Linked DNA regions of Neurospora crassa OR74A. The protein of the gene in region 1 purifies or fractionates together with the protein of each later gene. This does not show direct contact. Links are inferred from orthologs where the notes say so. Each region holds a gene or a part of one and is shown on either strand. Other genes may lie near its edges. The genes, in order: pex12, pex14 and pex5.

Evidence for each region.
Region 2: the proteins of pex12 (region 1) and pex14 purify together in Saccharomyces cerevisiae (affinity purification with mass spectrometry; 5 studies listed by BioGRID, with this or other methods). This does not show direct contact. The link is inferred for Neurospora crassa OR74A from reciprocal best matches to the Saccharomyces cerevisiae genes PEX12 and PEX14.
Region 3: the proteins of pex12 (region 1) and pex5 purify together in Saccharomyces cerevisiae (affinity purification with western blotting; 4 studies listed by BioGRID, with this or other methods). This does not show direct contact. The link is inferred for Neurospora crassa OR74A from reciprocal best matches to the Saccharomyces cerevisiae genes PEX12 and PEX5.

The regions. Positions count from the first base shown.
Region 1 is NC_026504.1:5,623,118-5,632,994, forward strand, and holds pex12 (peroxisome assembly protein 12), read right to left. Parts: upstream 4,828-9,877; 5' UTR 4,503-4,827; coding exon 3,162-4,502; 3' UTR 2,773-3,161; downstream 1-2,772. Other genes in the region: NCU05246 (DNA repair and recombination protein RAD5C), read left to right, coding at 1-1,758; NCU05244 (thioesterase), read left to right, coding at 5,602-6,129, 6,242-6,658; NCU05243 (hypothetical protein), read right to left, coding at 6,986-7,094, 7,165-7,306, 7,403-7,654, 7,743-8,907, 9,027-9,110, 9,169-9,327. UniProt on the Saccharomyces cerevisiae protein: Component of a retrotranslocation channel required for peroxisome organization by mediating export of the PEX5 receptor from peroxisomes to the cytosol, thereby promoting PEX5 recycling.
Region 2 is NC_026506.1:2,096,454-2,106,327, forward strand, and holds pex14 (peroxisomal membrane anchor protein), read left to right. Parts: upstream 1-3,016; 5' UTR 3,017-3,430; coding exon 3,431-3,470; intron 3,471-3,550; coding exon 3,551-3,876; intron 3,877-3,932; coding exon 3,933-4,670; 3' UTR 4,671-5,032; downstream 5,033-9,874. Other genes in the region: NCU03899 (HEC/Ndc80p family protein), read right to left, coding at 1-162, 225-355, 416-2,254, 2,358-2,408; NCU03903 (lipase/esterase), read left to right, coding at 5,952-7,442; NCU03904 (hypothetical protein), read left to right, coding at 8,252-8,479. UniProt on the Saccharomyces cerevisiae protein: Component of the PEX13-PEX14 docking complex, a translocon channel that specifically mediates the import of peroxisomal cargo proteins bound to PEX5 or PEX21 receptors.
Region 3 is NC_026501.1:8,568,845-8,578,840, forward strand, and holds pex5 (peroxisomal targeting signal receptor), read right to left. Parts: upstream 5,275-9,996; 5' UTR 4,734-5,274; coding exon 4,563-4,733; intron 4,490-4,562; coding exon 2,747-4,489; 3' UTR 2,272-2,746; downstream 1-2,271. Other genes in the region: NCU02961 (exonuclease), read left to right, coding at 1-1,820; NCU16466 (nucleic acid-binding protein), read right to left, coding at 6,119-6,767, 6,830-7,213, 7,317-7,318; NCU02959 (hypothetical protein), read right to left, coding at 8,084-8,716, 8,894-8,968. UniProt on the Saccharomyces cerevisiae protein: Receptor that mediates peroxisomal import of proteins containing a C-terminal PTS1-type tripeptide peroxisomal targeting signal (SKL-type).

The DNA.
Region 1 (9,877 bases):
GTGCGATTGAATGGAAAGGCAACCCTCTTGGTTTGCCCACTGAGCACGGTTACGAACTGGGAGGAGCAGATCAAGCAGCATATCAAACCCGACACCTTGTCTTACCACATCTATCATGGTCCCAACCGTGTGAAGGACGTGAAGAAACTGGCACAGTACGACCTCGTCATCACGACCTACGGATCGATCTCAAGCGAACTCAACGCCCGCGCCAAGAACAAGGCTGGCATATACCCCTTGGAGGAGATAGCTTGGTTCCGCATTGTGCTGGACGAGGCACATATGATCCGAGAGCAAAACACGTTGGCGTTCAAGTCGATTTGCCGGCTTCAAGCAAGCCGCCGCTGGGCTGTCACTGGTACGCCAATCCAGAACAAGCTCGAGGATCTGGCCTCGCTCCTAGCATTTCTGCGCGTCAAGCCCTTCGACGAGAAGATCAAATTCTTGCAATACATAATTGCTCCGTTCAAGAATGCCGATCCCGAAATCGTACCGAAGCTTCGCGTCCTCATCGACACAATAACGTTGCGTCGTTTGAAGGACAAGATCAACCTTCCGCCACGAACGGACGAGATAATCAGGCTTGATTTTACCCCCGAGGAGCAACGGGTGTATGACTGGTTTGCAAAGACCGCAAAGGAGCGAGTTTCGGTCTTGACCGGTCAAGCCATCGGTCAGGAACGCATTATTGGAGGCAAGACCATGATTCACATCTTGCGTTCCATCTTGCAGCTTCGCCTTATCTGTGCTCACGGCAAGGATCTCCTCAATGAAGAAGACCTTAAAGAGCTCCAGGGAATGACGGCAGACACGGCCATTGATATCGATAGTGACGATGATTCCGGCCAGCTTGTCCTCTCTGAGAGCAAGGCCTACGAGATGCTCTACCTGATGCAGGAAGGAAACAGCGATAACTGTGCTAGGTGCAACACGAAGCTGGGTTCCAACGAGGTGGTGGACGTCGAATCTGAGCGTCAGGAGGACATCATCGGGTACATGGTCAAGGCCAACTGCTACCACGTTTACTGCAACAAATGCGTTGACCACATCAAAAACGAAGCGTGTCCTACGTGCTCTGGCATGACCAGGCCTGGTTGCATAGAACTCCACCGCGCCCGTGCCATGGCCGAACACGAATCGAGAACCGCCAAGGTCGAGAACGGAGACGCAAACCAGGACCTCACCGCCTACTCAGGACCCCACACCAAGACTCGCGCACTCGTTGCCGAGCTTCTAGCCGACAAGCAAAAGAGCGAGGCGGCGCCCCACGAGCCCCCGTACAAATCGGTCGTCTTCTCCGGCTGGACCTCTCATCTCGACCTGATTGAACTCGCCCTCGAAGACGCCGGCATCACCTTCACCCGCCTCGACGGCAAGATGACGCGCACCGCCCGCACCGCAGCCATGGACAAGTTCCGCGAGGACCCCTCGGTGCAGGTCATACTCGTCAGCATCATGGCCGGCGGTCTCGGTCTCAACCTGACCACGGCCAGCAGCGTGTACGTGATGGAGCCCCAGTTCAACCCGGCGGCGGAGGCGCAGGCGGTCGACCGCGTGCACCGCCTCGGTCAGAAGCGGCCCGTGCGTACGGTCAGGTATATCATGGCGAATAGCTTTGAAGAGAAGATGCTAAGGCTGCAGGAGAAGAAGAAGAAGTTGGCGAGCTTGAGTATGGATGGTAGGGATAAGGGACAGGTGATGGATCGTACGGATGCGGCAAAGCAACGGTTGATGGATTTGCGGAGTCTTTTCAAGTGAGCTGCTGACTGACTGACCGGCTTGCCTCGCTGCGGTTTATGGATGAATGAATGAATGGGTGGTCACTTTGTTATTATCATTTCTTTTTCTTCTTTTCTTCTTACTTTCAAAGACGGGATAGACAGACGGATCGGGATCATGCGTGCGTGGGTTTTGCAAGCAAAGAGGAGTTCTGCGTCCCGGGGCTGGCTGGCTGGGTGGGCAGATATCATGACATGGCATGGCGCGACGGGGAAACGGGGAACGAATTACACTGCAGTAGCTCGGGCTAGATTTACATTTACAACATATGTAGACGGGGTTATTATGGACGTCGAAGCTACCTCTCTTCTAAATCTTCTCTGTTTTGTTTTGCTTTACTTTCAATGGGAACTGCTGGAAGGAGACCGTCCTTTGATTTTTCAGGGAGGGAGGGAGGAGCGCATTTGCAACAAGATATCACTCTTCTCTTCTCTATCTACTATACTATACTCCTCGCACGAGGACTTCGTTCGGTAGAGGTATATATACACTCTATGCATTTCCATTTCCATTACCCCTTTGTTTTCTCTCTTTTTCTCTCCATAGACAGCTACCTAGTCAAGACAGCGTTCTTCAGGCAGAGAAAGGCAGAATATTCACTGGTGGTCGTATGTATATGGTTATACAATGAGAAGCATCGCAATAATACCTACCTACCTACCTACCGAACTCTATCACATCGCCATCCACTTGCTACAGGGTTTGAAGTAAAATCAACTACACTAGATAGCGCTTCTCATCACGGCAAATAATTGACTAGCTAGTAATCTGAAAGAAATTATCGTCAAGCAAGACGTAGACAGACATACAGGAAGATGGGAAATTCCATTTTCATTGCGAATTTGGTCAACATGGCAGGCAAAGTGGTAGGTGCTACCATATGAGTTAAGGTTTGGCACTTAGAGTCCAACAACAAAGCGGGTTTAGCTCAGTTGGGAGAGCGTCAGACTGAAGTCCACTTCACTCATAAATCTGAAGGTCGTGTGTTCGATCCACACAAACCGCATCTTTCTTTTGCCTTTTTGGATTCGCGAAGTACGTACAGGTAGATTAATCGAGTTACTGAAACGGTGTTGATAGACATTCTGATCCCCCCCCCCCTTTTTTTTTTTTTTTTTCTTGCATGAGCTTCGTGTTGTTCGTACGTGAACCATCCGGTTTGGCAGTACAGAAAAAAAAAGAAGATGGCTGTTGACATTTCATCGACCACGAGGTGATAGAGGAATCTGATTGTCTGACCAGTAAGCATGTCCAGTTTTACATGTTCGTTTGCGGTATGTTGGTTATGCAACTTGCCAGATTATATGCCACCATTAAATAATGTCTAATGTTCGCTTTTCACAACTCATGCCAATCCATCATCCTCAATATCTTCTTTCCGGCTAAACCATGATCCGCCTCAGCCCTTCCGTCCCTCCCAGCACTTTCCTTCCTGTGACGGCACATCTCCCCTCTCCGCTCTCCCACTTGCCCTCGCGCTCTTTCGTCATGAACTTCTCCTGCCTGACATGGGTCCCGCTCATCCACTTGTGTATGCACGAAAAGCAATAGACCACACCCGTCTGACACGCCGCCGGCGTCTGGATCTCGTCCTCGCAAATAGGGCACATATCAGATCTCTTGGGTGGTGGCACCGTGAAAATCGGCAACAGCGTCGAAGCCGCTATAGGCGCCGTCTCGGGCGTTGGTTCCTTGCTGCTAGCCTCCTCCTCTGCCTCATCATCCTCATCCGCCTTCTCCTCCACACCATCCTCCGACGTCCTCGTGATCTTGGGTTTAGGCTTATTCCTCGCTTGCGCCTCCACCAGCCCCGTCACCGTCGGCGGCGGCAGATCCAGGCTTTCCGCCGCCTTGCGACTCAGCTGCTTGGCGAAATCCGAAGCGTACCACCACTCAAGGAACTTGAGCGCAAAAATACTCGTCGGCAGCACCAGCGACAGACCGCCCATCAGCCTTCGACTCATATTCCTCGGACTGAACATCGACCCCCCTGTTAATCTGGAGGTAGCGGCGGCGGCCCCCGCTGCCTTCTCTAGAGCCTCAATCGCCTGATAATCCGCCCCGTTCATCCGCCGCACGCGCGTCCCGATCAGCCACAAAAACGGGTTATGGTACTTTGTGTTGTCAAACAGATACCCCAGGTTAAACGCCAAGATGGCAAAGTAATACGCCGCGTTCAAGCTCGGGTACACTTTACGTAGAAACCAGCGGTAGTAATACAAGAACCGCTCCTTCATCGGGGCCCCCTTTGCCGGCGGCCGCGTGTACTGGCCGCCCAACATGGCGCGCGGCGCATCGATCTCGTAGGCCTCGTCCAGCTTGCGTTTCAGGTAGGGGATCCCGACCATGACGGCCAGGTTCTTCCAGATGTCGACATCGGAGAGCTTGAGGGCGTCGCGGACGAGGTTGGGCGCCGAAGAGGCCGCGCGCGGGATCTCGGCGGCCAGCGCCTTTTCGCGCTTGAGGCCGTAAAAGTGCTCGGTGAAGCTGCCGCCGCGGGTTTTGAGGTAGTGGCGCTCGACGAGCAGCCCCGCGAGGGCGTACAGCTCGTCAAAGGAGTTGAGGATGCGCAGCAGGTGGCGCGGGTAGCGGTGGGTGAGCACGGTGAGGAGGTAGCGGAGGGTGGGCGGGAGGAGGGAGGCGAGTTGTTGTTCCGAGAGAAGCTCGAAGAGGGAGGGCTTGCCGTCGTCGAAGGTGCCGCGGAGGGCGGTGACGAATTCCATGGTTGTTGCGACGGTGCCCGGTTGGGTATTGTTACGGTCTGGTGGTTATCGGGGGCGGGATGGGATGGGATGGGATAGGCTCCCGCCGGTTGTATCGAGAGGGGGTGAGTTCGAGGTTCCTCTTTCGGTATGTTCCAGTGTCGCGCGTAGTGATAGGGGGTCGGTGTGACGTTTTACTAGTATTATATCGCCGTCGTGGTTTCCATCGATGGATTTGTTGATGTCAAGTCAAGTTCACGATATAATTGGGATGAATTGAAAGAAACGGGGCGAGATGGACCTGGACCTCGACCTCCTGGAAGTTCGAACAAGGGGGGGGGGACTCAGACCGGGGCCAAGGAGTGGATGCCGCGACGCATCAAAAGTGGCACTTGGTAGCACTGTGAGTGGACAGCTGAAAGTCGGGCAGCGCAGTGGAGGCCTGTGGGTGCTCCCGTCGCTGTCTAGTGTAGTTGCTTGCTTGCTTTTGCTTGCCGCCGCCGCCATTTGGACCTTGCCAGGTAGCCGAGGCTGTCAGGTCATTCATGTACCCCAAGAAATGGGTTGCAACGGATGCCCGCCAGTTTACCCCATTTGCCCATTCATCCCCAATCATCCCCCCCTGTGCCTGTGATGTGTAGTGTAGACTACTGCTACTATGCTAGGTAGTCACGGCAGGCATGGATACCCCCCTCTCCTCTTTTGCTTTGGTTCGATTCCGTCGAGTTGTCGGGCATCCGTTGTCGGTGTTGTTTCCATCCCGCTCTTTTACACATACCTACTACTACTACCTACTACTTGTACCGCCGGTAACACTACATTGATAAATTACCTACTACTTCCCTGTTTTGACTTATTGCCGGTTCCTGTGTGTGTGTGGTACATCGATACTAACCAACACCGACCAAGGCAACTACCTACCTCCCTCCCGTCTACCTACATACACACTACGAGACTACACTACCTCTACTAACGGCAATCTACAACCGCCCTTCCCTGCCGCGCATCCCATTACGGACGGCACAGTGAAACACCGGACCTGCAAGCCACAATCTTATCATTCTTATTTCCCTTCCCTTCCCGTCTTATCGTCTCGTCTCGTCGCTCACGGAGATAAAAGATGACCATCCGTACTTATCATCGCCCAGTAAAGACATCTGAAGTCGTTGTTGTTTCGTTAGCATCCCAAGAGGAGCAAGAAAATACTATGGCCGGTGGTCAAGAAGGAAGAAAGGGGTCGGCATCACCGCCACCACCACCACCACCACCACCACCAGCAACACCACCAAAGAGCGGTGGTGGTGGTCAACATCAACATCCACATCATCATCTGCACCATCTACACCATCTACACCAACAATATCAGCAATTTCAGCAACCGGCACCACCACCACTACTACCGTATCCACAAAGTCAACATTCACAAAGTCGTCACCCGCAGCAGCAGCAGCAGCAGCCACCAAGAAGTGCAGCACCACCAGCACCAGCACCAGCACCCGCACCCGCACCAGCACCCGCACCAGTACCAGTACAACCACCAAGCACTACCGTCGACCCAAGTCTACTGCCATACACGGGCGAGCAACGAATACTCGAACTACACCGACGAGAACTCGAAAAGGCTTCTAGCGGTGATATCAGCGATCATGTGCGTCACTCTTCACTCTTCACTTACTACAGTACCTTCTTCACTTTTCCCTAATTTCTTCCATAAGAGTTCTCCTTCCTTTTACCACATAACAAACTAACATGACAAGCAGGACTACACAACCCCCCTCCTCCCGCACCTAAAACTCATCTCGGCCGATTCTGGTCTTCCCCACCCCAAGTCCTACTTCCGCTACGTCGTCCAACCCTCCCACTGCAACCGCAACGGCACCCTGCACGGCGGCTGCATCGCCACGCTTTTCGACTACTGCACCAGCATGCCGCTTGCGCTCGTCTCCCGCCCCGGGTTCTGGTACTCCCTGGGCGTCAGTCGGTCTTTGAACACGACGTACTTAAGACCTGTCCCCGTGGGCACCGAAGTGTTTATCGAGTGTGAGGTGGTGGCGCTCGGTAAGCGGATGGCGAGTATTAGTGGCAAGATGAGGAGGGCGGTGGATGGCGCGCTGGTGGCTACTTGTGAGCATGGCAAGGTGAATACGGATGGGGCGGAGGGGGGGAGTAAGCTTTGATTTTGCTTTGTCTTGCGTTGCTTTGCTGTGTGTGGGAGGGGGTGGAAACTGGGGAGATGGATCTTTCTTCTGGGAAGAGAGTAGGATTTGTGTTGTTGTTAGATGGTGTAAGTAGATATTTGCAGGCAAATATGATGGTAGTTACAAATGATGTGAAAAAAAAAAAAAATGCAAGGCAAGGTGTGTGTGTATCTATCTGTGTGTCAATATGGTCCCGTTTCCATAAAGCTTACTTGGTGCCATGCTATGTTTAAGCCTCGATTTGTTAGCCATCCACGCTTCAAACAAAACTCCAAGAAAAAAAAGACATACAGAGGTAACAAGCTACTATGCCCCCTGCTGACCGCCTCCATGACCGCCCCGTGGCCGCGCAGCCTCCAAATCCGATATCTTCCAAAACGCCGTAGGCCCACAAGGTCCATGGGGGTTATAATCCCTACAAGAATCAAGAAACACATGGTTAACAAACATCCAAAGACGAAGGCGGACATGGAATGATAACCTACTTGTCAAACCAATTCCCAACCACTCCACGAGCAGACTTGACACCTCCAATCTGGATCCCCTCGCTCCGCCATCTCTCCTCGCCATCATACAGCGAAGATGTCGTCCACCGGACCTCGCCCTCGGGCGTCATTTGCACGACTCCTACAACTTGCCCTTGTCAATATGCCATCCATCCATCCATCCATCCATCTCTTTTTTTGAAAATTGTCCAAGGGAGTTTAGTTATGAAGAACTCACCTCTCAATCCCCAAGTGAGGCGCGCCTCTCCAGGAGACCCATCAAATGACCGAGCGTATCCCCTCCAGTGTACAATGGGCCATATCTTCCCCTTGATCTCCGTTCCTGGCTCGGGGTAGACGATTCTGTTGACGTGGATCTTCATCATGAGCAACTTGGTTGCCTCGCCCACGTCCAGGGGCGGCCTCGGCACGCTCTCGGGGCACGGCATGTTATCGTCGGGGAAGTTGAACGAGAAGAAGTCGGTGTAGTCTTTTTTTTTTTTTTTTGGCACCATGTATCAGCTTCCTCTCGACCAAGAAAGACAGTGGGAAAAAAAAAAAAAAAAAGGACGACTCACCCAAAAAACAAACCACCCTCAACCAAACTCCCGAAACCCCATACGGATCCTCCATCTCCAACTTCATATCCCTATTCTCCTCCTCTTCCTCTTCTGCAGCAAAATCTCCATCACTATTATCCCCATCCTGCTCTTCCTCCCCCTCCATATCATCCACCGCCCCATCATTCGCCACATCCGAAGCCCAATCCTCATGCTGCGTTGTATTCGTATTATTCCCCCACAAGAACCAACCCGCATAACCACTTCCCACCCCCATCGGACCATTTTGTCCCTGCTGTCCCTGCCCGTCCCCATCTGTTGTTGTCGTCGTCGTCGTCGAACTGCTGCTGTTGTTCCCGTTCCCGTTACTCCCCGCCCTCGGCAACCCACACAGACTCCCCTCCCAACATCCCGCAAACGGCGTATTCCAGACATTCCCCACCATCGGGATCCTATCCAGCTCCTTCAGCTTGATATTCGTCCTCAGCACCAACAGGATCGCCTCCACCTTCTCCCAATCCACCTTACCACTCCCGTCGGCGCGGAACGGTCCCCACTTGCTTCGCGTCGTGTACTCACGCAGATCATACACCTTCGACACGGCGTAGGGATACAGTCTAGGCACAAGCGAGGTGCGTCCGAAGAAGGCTGACCGCAGTTGACCGTCGCGGGTAGGCAGCGGCGGGCTGGGCGGGGTGGCGTGCGCGTTGGTGCCTGGCGTAGGAGGAGGGTACGGGTTCATGTTCAACGAGGACGAGAGCGCAGGGTTGTTGGGCAGCGTTAAAGTGGCGGGGGCTTGCACGCCGACGCCAAAGTGGCAGTGCATCTTGGCGGATTGTTGTTGGTATTCGATGTAGATGGGGATGCGGACGTAGCGCGAGCGCTCGAGGTCGATGATGGTGCGCATGGGGATGGGGAGGTAGTCGAAGCAGTGGGCGCGCTCGTAGAGCTGGGAGCCCTGGAGGAAGGCGTTGCGGACGGATTCTTTGGAGAAGAGGTTGGAGAGGATGGCGGCGTTTCGCGAGGGGGAGTAGGAGGAGGAGATTTGTTGTTGGGTGTTGAGCTGCTCGTTGCGGATTGATAGGGAAGAGGATGGGGGGATGGCTTTGAGAAGGTTGGTGACGGCGTGGTAGACAAAGGTCATTTTGGGCATGTGTAAGTTGGGACATGAGACTTCAAAGTTCTGTATGGGATGAGTGGGCTGTTAGTAAGCTAGACAAACCGAATTATCTTGGGAGTGAAGCATGTCCTTGATAATTGAAACCTTCACAGCACGAGTGTATCGTCGTTGTAAGAGCTTACCTCATACTCCCGTCCACACAGTCTGCGCAACTTGGCCAGATCATTGAGGCTCTGCTCCCAGTCCACATCCTCTGGTGGTTCGTCCTGTGTAGTGTCCGTCAGCATCATGTCTGAGGAGAGGATAGAGAAGTTGGCAACACACCAGATATCGATAATAGATGTCCCGATGTAGAACTGCATTTCCTTTGACATGTTCTGTTAACCGTCGACAGATGCTTCGGATACTGGGTAAATCGTCGGGCGCCACGTAGCCAAAGATGTTGTTGATGATCTCCGAGGGCAGCTGAGTGAGGAGCACCATGTTGACTTGCGATTACTTGTTTCACTTCAAGTGGCTGATCTTAGTCGATGTCGGAAGGGAGTAGTATTTTTGACAAGAACTAGTTGTGAGATGTCAAGAAGGGAGCGAGTTTAAAAGCCAAGCAGGCAGGCCTGTGAGGATATCTAGAGGTAGCAAGGTCGGCGGAAGACGAGAAAAACAAGGGCTAACGGAGAATGCAATTCAAGGTTAGTCAAGTCACCGTAAGATATAACAAGTGTCAAGATGCTGGCATGAGATATGTTGATGATGCTGGCACCAGCATCGATGAGATGTTAGGTGAGGAGGAGAGCTTGTTTGGCAATCCCTTGGCCGAGATTCCCGGCAACGTGATCGAACGATTTGAAACAAAGGATGATGTTCTGATATTGAACTTTTTATGAGAAGAGAAATCCGTGGGAATCGTTGCTCACTGTGAGGTGATAATTACCAAGGCAAGTAAGTACCTTGGGTAGACACTTTCACAGGTGAGCTTCACTTGCTTGGATGATGGGCAGATTCCATGGGTTGCCTGGGAGAAAGTAGGAACAGA
Region 2 (9,874 bases), on another chromosome or scaffold:
ATCCCCAACTCCTGTTCGAGCTCGTCTGCTACAAAAGTCTCGTACTCCTCCAGGCTTCGCTGGACGTGCATCTTGAACTTGATGACATCGTTGAGCATGCGCATGGTCTCCGTGTGGAGCTCTTCGCGAAGTGCGTTGGCTCGGAGCGTGAGTTGCTCATACCTATTATTGTCCACTTGTCAGCACAGCTGGTTCTATTCCTGAAAGAGTCATGGCAAACCTACTCGATGTTGGTATTCATTTCCCTCTGCTCCATAAGCTGCACAGACTCGGACAATTGTGCTCGCATCTTGGCGAGCTCTTTCTCCATCTTCTCAATCTGTGCATCTGAAGCCATTTTCTGGGCGTTGGTGACCTAGACCTCATTGTTAGCATGAGTGATACCGAGCACGTAGGACACGCGGCCATTAATCACCTCTTTAGTCTTCTCATACTCCTCCTCTGCCGCCCGCACCCGATGCCCGAGAGCCTCGACCTCATTACGCTTATCTTCGATCGCCTCCTTAGCGCGATCGAGCAAGTCATGGTCTTCCATCATGACATCCATAGCTACCTTTCTCCTCTCCGAGACCTCCTTCCTGAGTGCCAGGAAGGTGTTCTTAACTTGGCCTCGGAGATCCAGGTTCAGGATATGCGCAGGCTGGTATCCCGTCGTGGAGTCGGCCAGCAACCTCTCATTCTCCACGCCGCCCAGTGGCTGCCCGTTTGGCCCCAATACACCTTGCATCGATGAAGCAAAGTTGGGCGTTCCCTCGTTTACAGTTACCTGCAGTTCAAGATTCTTCCCCTTGGCATTGACTGCCGTGGCTGGGATCAGTCCGATCTGGTAGGCGACCGTGTTGTACTTTTCAACCAGCCGCTCGAGCTCGTCCAGACGCTGGCTCGCCTCCATCTCGCGCTCGGCGACCTTTTTTTTGACGTCTTCGAGCCTCTGGGAAGCGGACTCGATGCTCCTTTGAAGACGTTCCCGCTCTGAGGTCATGCGGTCAATATCCTGCATGCTGATCCCCTGGTCGTCCACCGCCTTTTGCATTTGTCGCCGCTCCTCCTCGGCCTCCTTCAGCTCCACGTGCAACTTGCCCAGCTCCTCCCGGAGAACCTGGATACGGTTTTCGTACTTTTCTGTCCGCTGCATGGCTAGAGTGTTGTACTCTTCAAACTTGATCTTGTCCTCCTCCATAATCTTAAAGTGGTTGTCCAAGATGGCCGGGTCGGGTGTCGACTTTTCGAGCTCCTGAATCTCCTTTAGCAGGCGGGCGTTTTCCCCTTCGAGAATCTCCAGTTCTTGGATGTACTTTGCGTTTGACCGTTCAAAAGCCTCCGCCATTCCCTGCACATGCGGCTGTAGTGCCCTCTCCACGTCTTCATCCCCTGCTTCGTCATCCATATTGAGCCAATCCTGGTATGCGCTGGTGAGGAAATCAAAGATGATCTGGTCGCCCGCAATGTCGACCCCGGCTTCCATACAGGCGTCGTCGTACTGGTGTCGGGCGTATCCTTCGAGCATCTGTGCCAACTGCATCATCCAGTGCAGTAATCCCAAGAAGGTGCTCCAATTCTGACCTCCGACCGCGGCGATTTGGCTCTTGGTGATGCTCTTCTCGTATGGGTATCGCAGTTGTTTGAGTAATGGTGGTACCTCCTGGTCGATATTCTTCTGAAACCGGTAACTCGGGTCTATCCTGTGGTAAAGCCATTGAAACAAGTAGTTGAAGTCCTTCTGTGTCGGCGACTTTGTGAAGTTGTCGGACAGCTTGTGGTTCATCTCCATCTCGAAATTGTTCTTGGCGAGGTACTCGAGCAACTCCTGGCCAATGCGATTTTGGAATTGACGGTCTTTGAGGGGGCGCGGATCGCGAGGCACGCCGGCGGGCTGGGGCGCTTGCTGGAAGAAGCTCATATGCCCACCAGCTAAGGGACCTCCGCCGACGGCCGACGGTCGTGCGCTTGGGCGGTAGACGCTGCTTCGCCGGTCGAGTTCTTGCGATGATCGAGGAATACCGGAACTGCCTGGGGTGCCATAGGGCTTGAACTGCGACGTGTTCATGTTATGAACCGACGCGCGCTTTACCGAGCCCAGGCCAATGTCGGAGGATCGCTGGAACAGAGGTTGGCTCGGTCGCGGGAGGGCCAGAGATTGCCTCCCCGACAGAGAGCGACCATGGCCCGTTCCTATTGTGCCGATGGTGCTTTGTCGCTTAAGTGTGGAGGGTGGTGCCGGAATGCCCGACGTGAGGTTGACGCCATGGAGAGTCTACAGAGAGAGCAGAGTCAATATCGTGCATGGTCGCGTCGGATGGGGAGAGGTTTCGACCGAGGAAACACGCCGCAAAGAAAGTCACGGGGGGAAGTCGCACCTCCCTTGGCCGTCGAACACTCCAAAGGCCTGCGTTGCTGTCTTGCGACATGACGGCAAAGGCCTCGTCAATGTGCGCCTCCCTTTTGCCGTCCTAGTCGCGTGGTTTCCGTGATAATATATAAGCAAGCGAACAAAAGAGTGTTACACTACGTGCAACTGTGTCGGATCGATGTCGGCGATGATTCTCTTGGTGGTGATTATGTCGGATAGCTTTGTAGAGCTAAGGTATGCGCTCGAGTTAATGTGGGTACGTGTTCGCGGCTCTGACAGAAATCAATGCATAACCGCAGTCGCGGATTTCGTCGTGTCGTAGCGATAAAAGTACGTGTACGGCCAGCAACCTAATGCAGGCCAGCATAGGTATGTAGGTAGATTAAGACACCGTAGTGTAGACGGGACTAGGTTGTCGACTTCTGCGGATGGTGGGGGAGGTTGCTCCGTCAGGAAGAGTAAACAAAAGAAAGGCGACGTGGGTGGGGCTGTGGAAATCATTGGGCTGAACAGTGCCAAGTGCACTCCAGTTCTCGTCCCCAAGCATCGGGACGGCAGGTGAATGACGGGAGTGGGTCCAAAAGCGACCTTGAGGGTGAGTGTTGGCTCGCTTCAGGTCAGTGCTTTTTCAGCTCTGCACTCCCGTCTCTGAGCCAGTCACTGCATGGAATGGATGCTCAGCTGCGCTCTAGGCCTGTCGGAGGAAAAGGAGAGTCAGGGGAGGAGATAGTGATTTATCTGATCAGCATGCCTCCACGAGTGTGCTGGGGGTGCAAGTGATGCGAAGCTGTTAAGGTGCTATTAGCAGTCCACGTCTAGTGTACAATCAGGCCCCCGGTCCCGTGAACCTCGGCTTCAGGACTCCATCCAGCGGCCCAGCCATCCCCCGAACCGCTGCCAGTCAGTTCGTTTCCACTTCATCTATCGCATTCAGCCTCCCGTCCTTCGATAATCATTCCATCAACCGCCGCCGTCTGCCATCGCGTCGCGACTGTTTCAGCTGTCTGCTTCTTTCCTCTCGTCTGCCCAGTCTCAACAAGGGAACGCCATCTGCCGCATTTCGATCAAACAACATCAGTCATGGCCATCCGCGAGGACCTGGTCGCTTCGGCGGCGCAGTGTATGTTCTGCCCCTGTCTTGTCCCCTGCTACCTCCTCTACATTGCCAGGCCAGAATCTCACCCGACAACAACACCACAGTTCTTCAAGACCCCAGTGTCGCCGCCTCGCCAATCGAGAAGCGGATAGCCTTTCTCCAAGCAAAGAACCTCACCCAGGAAGAAGTCAGCGCTGCTCTCGCCCGCGCCGAATCAGGAGGTCCACCGCCACCGTACGCCCAGTCGCCCGCCTATGCGCAGTCGGCCGGACCCGTCGCAGCACAGGGTGGCTCTCCGCAGTACTATGGCTATCCCCCATACGCATGGCCGCAATCGAATACCGACGGTGTCAGGCGGGACTGGAGGGACCTGTTCATTTTGGCGACCGTAGTCGGAGGCGCGTCGTACGGCCTATACAATCTCGGCAAGGTAGGCCGCCGAACACCGTGCAATGTACATAAAAGGAAATTCTAACCGTTCGGCAGCGCTATGTGTATCCTTTGATTGCTCCTCCCACGCCGGAGCGTCTCGAGCAGGACAAGAAGTCCATCGACGAACAATTCGACAAAACATTCCAACTGGTTGAGCAGCTGGCCAAGGATACCGAAATCCTCAAGGCCTCGGAGCAGGAAAGGACAGAGAGACTCGACAATGCCCTCGAGGAGCTGGAGACTGTCGTCAGGGACCTCAAGGCAGCCAACAGACGCAGAGACGACGAAGCACAGAGAGTACGGGACGATGTGCAAAATCTCAGGGACTCGATTCCAAGGGCACTCAACAACCAGAAGGACTTGACCGACAACAGGCTGCGCGAACTCAATACCGAACTCAAGAGCCTCAAGACCCTCATCTCGCAACGCATGAACCCAACCGCCACCTCGACGAGCGTCAACAACTACCTTCGCCCCAATACTAACGGAAACGCCACTCCTTCTTCAGCCCCTGCCACGCCAGCCCTCGGCGGTGAGAACGGAGACTTAAACAGCAGAGCCGCGAGTGCGCAGGATGAGCAATCCAGATACCAGCAGGAACAGCAGTTCGCTCAACCTGCTGCCCCCAAGCCTTCGCCTTTCAGCAGCGGAATTGCCTCTGCAGGCAAGCCGACTATCCCTGCTTGGCAGTTGGCCATGGCCAACAAAACCGCGTCGGCTTCGACTGTCGGAGTCACGAACGGTACTACAAACGATGGCTCAAGCAGCAACGGAGGCGACGAAGCCGCTTAAAAAGCTGTTCTCCAGTCAGGCACAAAGATAAAATAGCACCGGAACTGGGAAACCTGGATACATTAATCGGCATGAGCATAAGGCCAAAGTGAGCGACTCCCTCTGGTTTTCTGTATAGTAATAAAGCTCCTGTACGTTGTTCAAGCAGGACAATACACAGGAGCACTTGTGAAGCATGGGACAACCTCATTCAGTCCCCTTTCCATGATAGCGCGTTTGTATTTCTGCAAGGTCTTTAAGCGCGGACGTTGCATGGCATTTTCCTAGAGCATGATATCAAAAGCTACCATTTTCACATCTTATAAGGTTAGGCCGTGAATTGATCTGAGACATCCCGTACACCTGACCGCCCAGTATTTCTGCCTCACTATTTTGACCGCTGCTATGGCATTGCCGAGACAAATTTTTGGTTATTGTCCTCAGCCACCCAAAAAAACTGGAGGGGAGGGGCAAAAAAAAAAAAAAGCCATGATCGAATAGAGATGCGCAAACGGTCAAAGAGGGACAACTGGCTTTGGTTATGTCGCCCTCTATTCAGGACTTTCAGCCACATCGGTACAGTCAGAACACCGCGGCCTCTGTAGAGAACTAAAGGATACATTGTAGTGTAGGTATTGATGTCGCTGCCAAATCATTACCTCAGCGTAGCATATGCGTACCCGAGAGGTCGGATGCGGAATATTCTCTGTTAAGACATCCCGGGTTCAAGGTACATACACCTTCGTGCCATGGTTCAGTTTCCAATCGCATCTAATAGTCCTCGTAGCTATTACTTGATCGGGCAATGCTTGCTTGGAACCAAACATTGACCCCACCCATCATCCCTTTCTTCCTGTGCCAATGTTCTCATAGCGCCTTCGTCTCGCCCAAACCCGAAGGGGATATTGGCCACAAAGGGGATGCAAGTCAAGTCCGTCGCTCTGGATACGTATTGTTTCTGCATTGCTGTTCTTCGCTTAGCTCTCACAACTCGCTCTTTTTCTTAACCACCTGCCGGATATAATGATAAATGATATTACCACCCCGCAGATTCGCTGAGATATCTGCGCTCGCAAGCCTTCCCCAATCTCCACGCGGACGCGCTCAAGAAGATGATTAGACAAGGAGCGCCTACAGGCTGTTACAACACAAACGGAATCCCTAGATACCCGAAATGCCCCATTGTTATTATGGATCTCGGGGTCTAATATAAGAAGAGAACTCGCCCCTGTTGATCTGATACCATGACCCCAACACCCAAACCCATCCGTCACCTCTAAACCCACCAAGAAGCCCGCCGCCATGGACAAGACCGCTCTCTTTCTCCAGCTGGTATCCAAGCTCCCGCTGATGGCCCGGGTGGCTCTGCTTCACATGTTGCAGGCCTCACCGGCGTCAAAATACCAGGATTTGCGGACGGAACTCACTATTGCCATGCTCCGCTCGTTCATGGACGTGCCCAAGCCTAGGAGCATCACTTTTACCCAAAAGATGCTCTCAAGAGTACCCCCGATCCGGGGCACGATATGGGTCAGCAAGTACACTCTGCCCATCCCCACGGAGGAGGATGCGCGCGCCATCCATGACACCTTGAGCAAGGCCATCGACGGGCTTCAAGACCGTGACCAACCGAAGACGGCCAGGATCCAAGTACCAGAAGTTCTTCCTGTGGAGGCGGAGTGGACAGCACACAGGCCGGGTGTGCCCAAAGATGCGAAGCTGCCCGATATCCCAGAACGGGAGAAGTATGACGAGATGATGAAAGACGTAAAAGCCCCAACCACGATACTCTACTTTCACGGCGGCGCCTACTGGCTCATGGACCCGGCCACACACAGGCCTACATGCAGAGAACTAGCCAAGCGGACCGGCGGCAGGTGTTACTCGGTGCGTTACCGGCTTGCGCCGCAGAACCCGTTCCCGGCCGCGGTCATGGACGCACTAGTCTCGTACCTCGGCCTGCTCTACCCACCGCCCGAGGCATTCCACGAGCCCGTGAAGCCAGAGCACATCGTCATCGCCGGCGACAGCGCAGGCGGCAATCTCTCGCTCGCGCTTCTCCAGCTCATCATGCAACTGCAACGCTCCGGCACCACCGTGTTCTGGCTCGGCCATGAGCGCTCCATCCCCCTACCCGCCGGCGTCGCCGTCAACTCGCCCTGGATAGAAATCACCCACAGCTCGCCGTCGTGTGTCACCAACGGTGCCTTCGACTACCTCCCTGGCCTCGAGGCGCAGGACAAGGCCGAGAAGTTGCGCGCCCCGTGCTCGGCCTGGCCCACGAATCCGCCGCGCATGAGCATGTACGTCGCCGACGATTACATCATGCACCCGCTTGTGTCGCTTTTGCTGGCACCCAGCTGGCGTGGTGCGCCGCCGACATACATTTGCACGGGTTGGGAGATGCTGTCGGACGAGGACAAGTTCACGGCAGCAAGGTTTCATGCCGAAGGGGTTTCTGTGACGTTTGAGGAGTACGAGGGCATGCCGCATTGCTTTGCCATGGTGTTGAAGAACTTGAAAGAGGCGGATAGGTGTATGGAGGGGTGGTCGAGGTTTATCGCAAGGGTCACGAATTCGACTGCCTCTGAGGGAGGGCTTGATGGTGCTGATGATAAGCGGAGCGCGATGAGGAGCACGTTTACCACGATCAAGTCGGGGACGCTGGAGGAGAAGGAGCTGGATCCTATGACGCTGAGCCCCTATACGGAGGAGGAGATTAGAGAAAAGATGAGGAGGAGGATAGAGTTAAAATGCGTGCCGGCCTCAGAGGGAGATCTCGCAAAACTTTGAATGTCGGGTTGGTGAATTATCGTGTGTGGTTGTTTGGGCATAAGGCTCAGCAGGGTGACTAGGGCGTCGGCGATCGGTGTTGACATTATACACATAAAAGGGGCTTGGATCTTGCTGACCATATGGATCATGTATGCATGTTACCTTATGATAGTTCTGAATGAATTGTTCTGCGCCTTTTTGTTCATACACTTGTAGACATGCTGACCAACGTCTTCCGAGATGTCTCGAAGCGGGCAAGTGTTAGTCGTATACTCATCACTTACCGGGATCTCCAGGTGAACCCCACTATCAACATCTTCCACTTGAAGTAACGTTCTATCAACATAAAAAGCCCGTTGCTACCTTATCTAAGCACCCAGTGGAAATGCCAAGGGTCGAGACTTAGAGACTATGGAGTTCGGCCGAGTTGTAGCGGACATCAAATCATGAAGAAGCAGGAACAAGTTCCGTCGTATATACGGCGAGATGTTACCCCAATTACCCCCAAAAGACGTGTACAATACAGGTGTTGCGTAGCCACAATGCTCGCCACCTTTGCCACATGAGGCAGCCCTTCCGTTGTCTTTCTTGACCTGACACTCTCCCCAACGGGTATATTTGATTCGCTTCCTATCTTCATCATCACACAACAAGCGCCTATTTCCTTCGAGTCTATTTATTAGTTCCAACCAAATCAGGAGCCACTTTAAATCACCCCACCCGGCCAAATCATCACTGTATTAAGCTCAAGCAGTATCTCCACCTCTGACACTCGAGTCGATTGAGTTAACAACAACCCCTTCCAAACCCCAAAACACATCACCAAGATGTCTTCTTCCGACACCACCACCTCCAACATCCCCAACGCCTCCATGCCCGCTCAGGACAAGAAGGAGCATGAGCATGAGTCTTCCTCCCACCAAAGGCCCACCGGCGCTGGAGTGAACACCGGAGCAGGCAGCAGCAGGCCCAAGACCGAGGCTGAGTTGGAAGCTGATCGGCTTTATGAGGAGAGGATGGAGGAGGAGTATGCCAAGCGGGACGGAGGTGCTTGATCGAGCTGACGAGGGTGGCTTGAAGGGAATTGGGTTCTCTCTGCCCGTTCTTGTTTGATACCTCTTGTGCTTGACGACTTCATTGGGCTTTGGGTGTATTCTCTCAGGGAGAGGGGAACTCCGATTGCTGGTTTATGTGTGAACGCCAAGGAACAGGAGGGAAGTGGGATGGCTCCGAGAGACTCTGGAACCTGATGGTGTAGGAAATTAAGAAGAGGATCTGGGACCGAAGGAATTGGAGAAGGAGGGTAACTTGTAAGATATAGTTTTGGGAAGGTTAACAGATGTCCGAAAGGCTCCCCTCTGTAGCATGGTTTGAATTTGGCCTTGACCACCACCAATGACCATCACTAATGTATTATTGCGTGTACTGTCGTGTTCTGATATGCCTACGTAAAACGGTGATTGCCTCTTTCCAAGCCTGAAACTATCAGTTCATATCCTCACAACTCCCCCATTCCTAGTATGAAGAAGCCTGAAAGCCTCGCTTGTCTACAGGGATCACGAGATTGTCGCTTACATGTAATCATGCCATATCTTGAAGTAGCTCTCAGCAGACCACCACTTCGCAGGAAATGGTTATAGCTACAGTGATGATGGGGTGAGTTCGCGTGGAGGTGGAGGAAGGTCAAGAGCAGACTATGGATGGTGTCTAAGTGACGCCCAGGGGAAACGTGAATCTCTAAAAAAAAAAAAAAAGGGACAGGCGAAAGCACGGGACCACGACATGATGAACCGAACACTAATTATTTCTAGCTTAACTACTGATGTCATGCTTCATGAGCAAGTAAAAGAGTGGTTTATTGGGATACAATAAGATAGATACCATTCCGCTCAAAGCCGTATGCAATCCTAAACCCGTTGACTCAAAGTCATGTGGTCTAATTCGAGACCGACCCTTGGTATAGATCAAAAAGCCGACAAAACTCCGGATCCCCTCACTATCCTGCTAGTTACTGTGAAGTCCAAGCGCACCTCCGTGGTTTTATGACACCCAACAATGGACTGCCCATTCGCATACCAGCACGAGTATTCTCATAGAGTGCGTCAACCGAGTGACCCATGCTACCAGAAGGAAAGGGTAACCGGCCCCGCTCTCGACCCGTCCAGGACCTAGAAGCCCGTTTTCCCAACGCTGTAAATGCTCTGGTATCTTGTAAACTCCTAGCCAGTATTCGTGATGTGTTCCCACGCTTGATTGTAAACGAGCCAATGGACGCAAGACCGTCCAAGGTTTGTTCAACTTTAAGATCCGAATAAAATCCGTATTGCGAGGAAGAAGAAAATGCCATCCATCGTGGGATGCCATCTGAGAAATCGAGACAAGTGTACTCGTGAAGACGTCGTTCTGAATCAAGAGAAAACTTTCTCTATGCAGTCATGAGCATGTAAGCG
Region 3 (9,996 bases), on another chromosome or scaffold:
CTTCTTTACGCGACCTGATCCTGTACATCTTTGCCGATGGCCCTGCGCCGCAATGGGTGTCTGTCAAGCATCGCCCCGAGTTCAGAAAGATCGTGGCCATCATGGTACCGGGTCTTGACGAGGCCATGTTCAAGAACGGTCTTGACTTCTCCGCCTACACCGGTCCCACTCTTGATCAAGCGATCTCCGGTGGCGGCGCCCCTGATCCTGATGAGTACTATCCACGCGAGCTCAAGAAGGAGCTGTTGCCCGAAGTCCTGCAGCCCTTCGCCGACATGTTCCCGCATTTGTGGCCTGTAAAAGCTCCAGGTGACGACAAGTATGGCAAGTTGCACTCGCCAATGCCTGCAATGCTTACCGCGCCCCTGCCCAAGAGCAAGGGAACGGGAATCCAGCCCGTATCTGAGCCCCACGGCTGGAAAAATCAGCGAACACGCATTACCGAGTTTTTGGCCACCAACGAGGAGCTGATGGAGCATGGCTTCCCCGTTCATCCAGCTATGCTGAACCCAGGGGAGAAAAAAGACAAGTTCAAGGACCCCGAAGGCTGGGTACACACGAGGGTCGAGAATCTTGAGGATGGAAAGGTCCCCGAAGGCGAAGTGCAACAGGGCAGTGTCACCGCAGGCCGGGAAGTCTATGCCCTCGATTGCGAGATGTGTATGACGGGGGAAGCCGAGTATTCACTTACCAGAATCAGCTTGGTCTCTTGGGACGGCAGTGTTGTTCTTGACGAGCTTGTCAAGCCGGACAAGCCTATCATTGACTATGTGACCCGGTTTTCAGGTATCACCAAAGAGATGATCGATCCTATCAACACGACATTGAAAGATATCCAGGCACGCTTGCTCGACATTCTTGGTCCTCGCTCGATTCTCCTCGGACACTCGCTTGACTCTGATCTTAAGGCCCTCAAGCTCGCTCACCCCTTCATTGTCGACACCTCGCTTCTCTTCCCGCACCCTCGCGGACTTCCCCTCAAACAATCGTTGAAGTACCTCGCACAAAAGTTCCTCAACCGCGAAGTTCAAAAGGGTGGTGGAACCAACGCCGGACACGACAGTATCGAAGACGCCAAAACGTGTCTCGACCTTGTCAAGAGGAAGTGCGAGAAGGGCAAGGCATGGGGTGCCGGAGAGAGCCAGGGCGAGAACCTCTTCAAGCGCCTCGCTCGCGCTGGTACGGCATATCGCTCGACCGCTGGGCCGGAGGCCACGGGCGGTGCTCCTGTCGGCAAGAGCAGCGCAGCTGTTGACTGGGGTGACGTAAGCAGAAGCGCCGGTAACGCCGCCACCGTCACAATTTCCTGCAAATCCGACGCCGAGGTTGAAGCCGGCATCCTCCGCGCGGTCAAGGGTGATCCCGACGGCCTCGAAGTTCCCGGCGGCGGTGTCGACTTTGTGTGGGCACGCATGCGTGAGCTCGAGGCCCTCCGAGGATGGTGGAACCGCAACAAGCTCGTCCCCGAGGACGCTGGCGGCCCGCCGGCTCTCACTGATGGTGATAAAAAGGAGGAAGAGGAAGAGCAGGAGGATGCCGCATCACCCCTTGAGACCTGCCTGAAGACACTCGGCGAGCGGTTGAAGCGCATCTACGACAATCTCCCGCCCTGCACGGCTTTCATCGTCTACACCGGCACTGGTGACCCGCGCGAGATGAGCCGGCTGCAGGCCATGCAGGCCCAGTTCAAGAAGGAGTACAACACGCCTGGCTCTAAGTGGGACCAGCTTAGTGTGCAATGGACGGACAGGGAGGATCAGGCTCTGCGTCGGGCTCTGAAGGTGGCGAGAAGCGGCATTGGCTTCATTGGAGTTAAATAGGCTCTGAGCTCTATGCCCCCGAGTGGACGCTGGAGAAAGAAGAATTAATATCTGTGGGAGGTGGTTTCAGGGTAGCTGTTGGCGTGAACATGGTTATGGATGGCAGCGAAGAGGTTCTTAGATGACATCAAGACAGTATAGACCTTATGGCTTTGCTTGGTGCGTCAACGATGGTTTATAGAATATCGTCAAGATACATACTTCGATGCCGCGGGCTCTACGAACATTTACTTCTCTTTACGAAGTTTACCATAAATTTAGAGAAGGCGACGTCTTGAGTCTTCAGCATCTATTGCCAATATCACCGTTTTGTTAAGGTTCAGTGATACACGCTGTTGACCAAGAGCCTCAGCTTTGCACACCTTCATTGGATCTACTCTTCTATTTCTGGTTGACGGTAGATACTAGCAAGATGGTGATCCCAAACTTGTGGATATCAAAACGAGCAAGGTATGGCAAGGACACGCAATGCAGATTCTTTCAGAAGCCTATGTATCGTATCTATCTATGTATGTGTCTGTGAACACAATCCGCTTTTCTCCGCTCACCATCGTGAAGCAAGAAAGAAACACACGACACCCAGCAAATGCAAAACCAGACTCACCACTAGCCGAAAAGCACCAAGCCCCATCTTCGACTTTTCACTCCCCAACACAAGCTGTTAACAACCCCGACAAGCCAGCTACATTCGCTTTGTACAGTACTTAATATTTGTATATTCACCAAAACTCCCTATAATCATCCGAACATAGTGTACTCGCCTCACTCGACAAGTAACCCTCGTCCAAGTCCTCATCACACCACTGCTGCTCCTCCTTCAAGGCCTTCTCCATTTCGACATCAACATCGTAGTAAACATCCTCCATAGCGTCATACCCAACCATCCACTCCTGAGCCTCTTCTTTCAACTCCAACTCTGACTCACTCTAGAAATCAAACTCACCACGGAAGATCTCGGGATCCACGCCCGTAGTAACCTTCTCCGCCAGATCCCTCCGTCCCATCTGCGTGAACACGCGACGGAGAGTGTCGTAAAGGGTCGTGCTCCTGTTCTGCGTCATCATGTTATCGATACGCGAGTCGCTATCACCCGCATTGCCGCCCAGCAGCTCGCGCGCCTTCTCGCGTCCGCTCTTCTCTACAGACTTGTGCATGTCCAGCGCCGCGAGCAAGTGACCCGCGGCCTCAGCATGGCAGCCAATGTTGATGCACGAGACGCCAAGGTTGTAGCGGGCGCGGACAAAGTTGGGGTGAATGGCGAGGGCCTTTTCGTAGGCGGCGATGGCCTCCTCGGAGCGGCCGCTGTTGGCGAGAGTGGCGCCCAGCCGGTTCCAGAGCAGGTGGATCTGTTCGCGCTGGTTGGAGGTGCCGAGCTCGGTCGAGTGCAGCGCCGACTGGAAGCAGTCGACGGCCTTGTCGTAGTCCTCGGCGCCGTAGAACAGGACGCCTAGGCCGACCTGCACGTCGGGGTCCATGTGATCGCCATCGGGAGCGAGGCGGGCCGCCTCGAGGAAGAGGTTGGTGACGCGCTCGTGCAGCTGGGCGCGGTCGGTGAAGCCCATGTCAGCGGCCGAGGAAAGGTTACTGGGTGAGATGACGCTGGGGTACTTGGTCGACAGCCAGCGCTCGAGCGTGCGGTAGGCGGTGCTGTCGTAGCCCTCGTTGGTGTAGGAGACGGCTAGGCCCATCATAGCAGAGAGGTTGTTGGGGTCGAGCTTCATGGCACGCTCGAGAGCACGGATGGCAGCTTCTTCCTTCTCGTTCTGGGCTTGCGTCTGTCCGAGGTAGACCCACGCCTCGGTGTGGTCGGGGTTCTTCTGGACCGCAGCCTCGAAGGCCAGAGCAGCTAGCGACAGGTTCCCGCCCTCCTTCATGATACGAATACCCTCTTCGAATGGGTTTGGTGTCTCCCTGAAGAGGTTATCTTCCTCGAAGAGGTACTCTTGCACGATAGGGTCCGCGCCGAGCCTGCCGTTCAGCGTCCAATCTTCCTTTTCCAGGTTCTCACTGTCGAACTTGGCAAAGTCGTCCTGGACATCAATCTCGTCCAACTCCTTCATGGCGTCTCTTTCGGCCTGGATACCGCGCCAGATGGATTCGAGATCGCCAGCACCAGTCTCGGAGTGAAGTAGCGCCTCGTCCATCTTGTTGAGCTCGGGCTCCATGGCGCGGGCCTCGTCACCATTGATCTCCAGCTGAGCAAAATGCTCTTCCCACTTGTTCTGGTCGAGCTCAACAACTTTGCCCTTACCCTTGCCCTCGGGCTGTAGTTGTTGCTGGGGAATGTTGTGCATCTGAGGGCCGTGCATGCCGACCATGGGCTGGTACATGGGTCGCTGCATCATGTTGTAGTTCATGTTGCCCATGCCCATCATGCCACCACCCATCATGGGGCGCTGAGCAGGCATCTGGCTGGCGGTGGCCGGCGCCGCGGCGGGGTGCATTTGCTGGAACTTTGAAAACTCATCGGCGCTGAACTGAGTGCCAGGCGGCGCATTGAAGGCGGCTTCCATAGCCGCCTGTGTGTTGTGGAAGTCCTGAGCCCATGCTGGCGAGGCGTTCGGGGCGCGCATGTGGGCGCCTTGGCTCGGGTCGAGGTGAAGCATATGTCCTTGTTCGAGAGGCATATGAGCCATCTCCGGCGTTTGGTTTAGGAATCCGTTCACCATCTGTTCGAGAGGATCGTCATGTCAGCCAAGAGCGCATGCCTTGCCGTCAACAATATCCATGAAGATTCCTTACCTCATCTTGGCCAGGCCCGCGGTTAATACTCCGGAAGCCACCAACCGCAGCATTGGGACCTCTGTTGGCAAGTCTGTCATGTTGGAGGCTCTTGTCGTCTCCAACATGCTTGGTAAACTGACTGAGCGGGTTGCCCGCCGTCGAACACTCGGCTCCACCCATGAAAGACATTTTGAAGATGTTGGATATTAATGCGACAATGGCGATGTTTCGGCGAAAGTTGACAACGAAGCCCAAGACAGAAGACAAGATGGGCGGCTCTTGTACACTATCTGGTAGACGAAGTAGAGCGCTATGCGGTCGACTGTTGGGAAAGCAGCGGCCCGCGCAAGTTGTAGAGGCAGGCTGGAAGTAGCGGTAGCTAGGTAGATTTTTGCGCAGGGCAAAGGAAGGATGACTTTAGTTTGGAAGAGGGAAAGAAAAAAAGAAGTGGAAGTAACAAACAAGCCAGGCACGGGCGTGGTGAGCTCGTGGAGTTGATTAATTAGTGATCAAGCGGCGGTGTCCAGAACTGAAGTTGTCCAGGTGAAAGAAAGAAGTTGACCGACTCTCGCGGGATGTGTGGCAGGTGTGCTGTCTTGTAAGTAACGACGGGAGCCCACGGATGCACGGGCGGGTTGTCTGGGTCCGGCATGTGTGGATGGCAGCAGCGTGGTTAGAAATCGGGCTCTGCATGCATCTGAAGTGAGTTGGAACCTTGGGCGCCAAAAGCTCAGGTCACTCAGGGGCACAAGGGGGGCACCGCCGTGCGCCACCTGAACAGCTGGAAATGCCGAGGCAGCCAGGGCACCTCAGCCAGCCATCATATCCACCTCACCGCGCTCTTGTTAGGTCTTTTTGGGCTGTGGCAGTTGCCGGCCACACCTCAGGCACTTGTTGCCTGGCCGCGGCTATTACTGGTAACCCCGCCAATGGAGTGTTGTCAACCACACCTCACATGGAGCCGAACCCCAGCCCGGCCCGTGGAGTACACCCCCGCCCCCGCCCCCGGATCCATCATCGATCCCTTCGTTCCTTCAAACGACAGCCGAGAACAATCGGACGACAGCGGAGTGCGGAAATCATACTCGCATGCCGACAGCACGGCAATGTACGCAAGTTGAAAGGGAAAATGAACAATCAAACGATGCGTTTCGAGCAGATCGTCACGTCACGCATACGGGATGCAGGACGCAAAGAAGGTACAGAAGACCACCCCTCTATTCGTACATATGTACAGCGATATAACCAACAAAAAATGGTAAACGAAAACAACTAGTCGCAGTAAGAAGAAAGAAGAGAAGATTTTTCGTAGTTGTACAGGTATCATTGCAAGCAAAAGGTCAGGATGATGTACGCAGAGTGATCGTACTGCAAAGGCGCCACAACACCAATCCCACAGTTTCCCAATCCCAATGTGCCCCAATTTTGGCAACATTTGTCAAGAAACACAACCGGCCTCTTTTCTTTTTTGAAAACCGAACTTGCCCAGTTTTGCCCTCCATTACATCCGTTTCCCATCCTCTTCACCCAGTCATGTCGTAACCATTACATGCCCTCGATTGCGGCTTGTTAGTTTAGAACTCGGTGGACTCGCCCTGGTCGCGGCGGTTGTAGTTGCGGTCGCCACCCTCGCGGTTGTAGCTGCGGTCGCCACCCTCGCGGTTGTAGCTGCGGTTGCCACCATCACGGTTGTAGTTGCGGTTGCCACCCTCACGGTTGTAGCTGCGGTTACCGCCGTCGCGGTTGTAGCTGCGCTGACCATCGCGCTGACCATCACGCTGCTGACGGGGGCGGTACTCGCGGCGTTCGCCGTTGTTCTCACGGGGCTGACGAGCAGCGGCGGGCTGAGCATAGTCAATCTTGATGGTCCTCTCGCCGAGCTGGGTACCCTGGAGCTTCTCCAAGGCGTTGACGGCAGCCTCAACGTCGACGAAGTCGGCGTGGGCGAAGCCACGGGGCCAGCCGGTAGCACGGTCAACGGCGACGCGGACGTCCTTGAGACCGTCAATGCCGACGAAGATGTTGTTCAGCTCGGCATCGGTGGTCTCGTAGGGGATGTTGCCAATGAAAAGGCAGGCAGAGGGCTCGCCGACGGCGCTGCCGCGGTTGACCTTCGCACGGCGGGGCTCAACGCTGATGCGGCGACCGTGCCAGAAAGAGCCGTCGACTTGGGAGCAGGCCTCCTCGAGGGCCTCACGGGTGGCGAAGGTGACAAAACCGTAACTGTGGACACAATCTGTTAGCGTAGTTCAATGTGGGATACGTAGAAAGGACTCCAAACTTACCCCTTGCTCAAGCCGCGGGGATCACGGGCAAGGAAAACGTCGGTGACATTGCCGAACTTCTCGAAAGCGCCCTTGAGGTGCTCCTCGGTAGCGTCGAAGACAATGTTGCGGACGAAAGCGGCGTGGCCCTCAGTGGTGTCCTTCTGAACAGCAGCCTCCTCGGTAGCAGCAGGGGCAGTCTCGGTCTCGGTCTGCTCGGGCTGAGTAGGCTCCTCGGTGTTAAGAACACGGGGAGACTGAGAGAAGAAGCGGATAGCCTGGATTCTGCTGGAGACAAGAGCAGTACGGGCAATGCTGGCGGAAAAGGACGCAGCAGGAGCCTGGGTAGAGATAGCCCTCGAAGCAGAGAGGGCGGATCTGAGAGCGGCACGACGGATGGACTGCCTGAATATGGAGATATCTGGTTAGTAACTGATGTGGGATGCCGGTCTACCTGTCCGTTCCTTGACTGTTACGCCAGGAAAGATATTAAGCAACTCGAACTTACATTTTGAAGTATGGGGATGAGGATGGATGGATGGATGGGCAAAAAAGGGTTGTTGAAAAGAGGTATCGGGAAGACAGGAAGCGTTTGCCTGGAAAAGAATAAAAGTCAGTCGACCTCAAGGTCCCGCTCCCGAGTCGGGGTTCTCAGAGTGGACTCTCCACTGCCTATGGTTGGAGTGCTCTCATCCGCCGCTATCAGAAAATTCAAGCAGGGTTGAGGCGGCACACTGAGCTGCATAACCGATTGGACTAGCCGCCTTGGGAAAGGTTGCTATTACGGATAAGCTTATCGGACGTGCCTGACTCTGTGCAGCACGCGTCAGTGAGTGCAGGCTGAACGGTGCAGTGTGTAAATCCCGTCGCTACCTCTAGAGGTCTAGTACTGACGGTTCTTTATCTATCGCTATCAGTTGTCCAACTTCAACTTCACCTGGCACTTTACAAAAACACATCTCAAACCCACAATCACGGCGACGGGTTGCGCATAGAAAATGACTTGAGATTTACGCTCGCCAACATATTTGGACTTGGTCTCATTTGAAGGTCTAAGGCTTTCTCTATCAATTCGCAGGACATCTCTTAGGGCTGGTTGGCCCCATATTCCCCAACGTTCTGGTCTGTCCCCACCAACCATACTACGTCAGGTTCATGATCCAAACCGACCGGATCACTACCGGTACTTGAGCGTGCTATGCGCCATGGTCCAACTCGCCATCAGCGGTCTCCAAGGGATGTTGAGCGTCGAGCGACATCACACCACCCCCATATCTACTCCCCGTTTTGGAACACAGCGCGCAGGTCCTCCCTGCCGCTGACGCTGCCAAGGGTTGGCCTCCTCGACTTCCGCAAATGCTGATGGCGATGAGATCTAGAGGCTGAACTGGGCCCTAGCGTCCTGGGACCCGAGTCGAGTTGATGGATTCGATTTGACGCAGTTTTGTTGGACTCTGCGTTTCTGGGATCCGTAGTCAGATTTTGGTAAGTTCCTGACTGAATGATGCTGGGACCTCGATCCAGATTGACTGGATGGGATCTGAGGGGGTCGAATTCGAGGGATATGCCATGTCGCGAGGCTACCGGCTCCGGTTCCGTGATGATGATTTTGATGTTGTTCCCATTCCTACGATTGTCACTTCGGCCCGTCCCAGGCTTTCGTTCTTTCCGTTCCTCGGACGCTTCCTGCTCACTGGTGTGGGCCAACAATCTCTCTTCGTCCGCCGCGTTTGTGGGTAAGACGGTGGATGAAGAGGTCCAGAATGGGCGGTTCCGATTCTTGCGGAAGTAATTTGCCGGCGCGAAACGCATGTTGGGAGATGTGCTTTCAACTGATGGCAAGTAGGTGTTGATGGTGTAGCTTGACGGACTGGGTTGTCCATCCTCCCTGTTCTCAAGATCGTAATACTGACGAGATTGACTTTTTCTGCTATATATAATATAACAAACAGCCAACAGGAAGATTATCGATCCGGATATCGAAACGACAAGCGCAGGTCGGAGAGGTCCCCGATGCTGGACGGAGTAGATAATTGAGAACACAATGAGCGAGGTCATTAAGGAGACCAGGAAGATTAAGAGTACCACCTCGATGGTCGAGAAGGGGCGAGGGCCACCGATTTTGCGATATCCCTTTGCCGGGTATGAGATTCCGACCATGGTGGGAAGGCATAGCAGAAACTGTGTTCATCTGGGGAAGGAGCATCGACTGGCGGGAAGTGGTCATTTTTCATGAGTGCTTGGAGTTGGGGGGTGTTATAGACCCAACATGGACATGCTCACCAGGCCTCAACAACTCGTGAGACTGTAAGACAGTGCCCATGAAGGTGGCATGAGGATTTTACCTTCGGGTCAAGCGCGAGTGTGCTGCAGAGTGATCATTCACCTTTTCCACCGGATGAGAAGAGCAAATGACAACAATGACGCAGAGCAACCACATGGGCTATGTTGGTGCCATAGGGCTGGGTGGCTCTTTGTCATGGGACCAATAGGAGATATTGCACGTGCCGCAGTACTAACTACGCCCATGGTTTGCGGTACACTCGCCAGTGTAAGCGCGATCTTTTATACCTCAGTCTCATAGCTCGTACCAACAACCGTCAAGTAAAGGTCGTGCGAATGGAGCGCCATGCTGACCGGTTGCGTGCTCTTTCAAAAGCAGATGGTTAGACCCCGTCGTCCATACTACGAGCACTCACCACCACCTATTTGATGGTTTGTAGTTCCCACACATATCCGAGAAAGACTCTAATAACGGACATTACCCACATCGGGATTCCGCTTACTCACTCCGAAAGGCAACCTCAAAGCTACAGTACTGCCAACCGCACACCATGACCGTTGCGACCGTTTTATGTGCCTCTTTGGGCTGTGTATGACTATACCGTCTTTAGTAGTGGGATATGCCCGATGGGTTGACAAACACCTATTCCTGATACGTCGTGATCCGGCTTCAACCCGCATCGAGTTGGCAGTTGACTCCGCAGACCACGCCATGTTACTCAGGGTGTATATAAGCCTCTGGCTTATCTTACCATCCACCGAAAGTCACTCAAGCACAGACTACGCATTGCCATCGAACGATCATCACAAATTTGCTGATAAAAGCTTAACAGGAGGCCTTCCCCCTAACTATAGGACTCGGTAGTAAGCACCGAACCAGGCCTTCTCCGACTACACTCACTCCC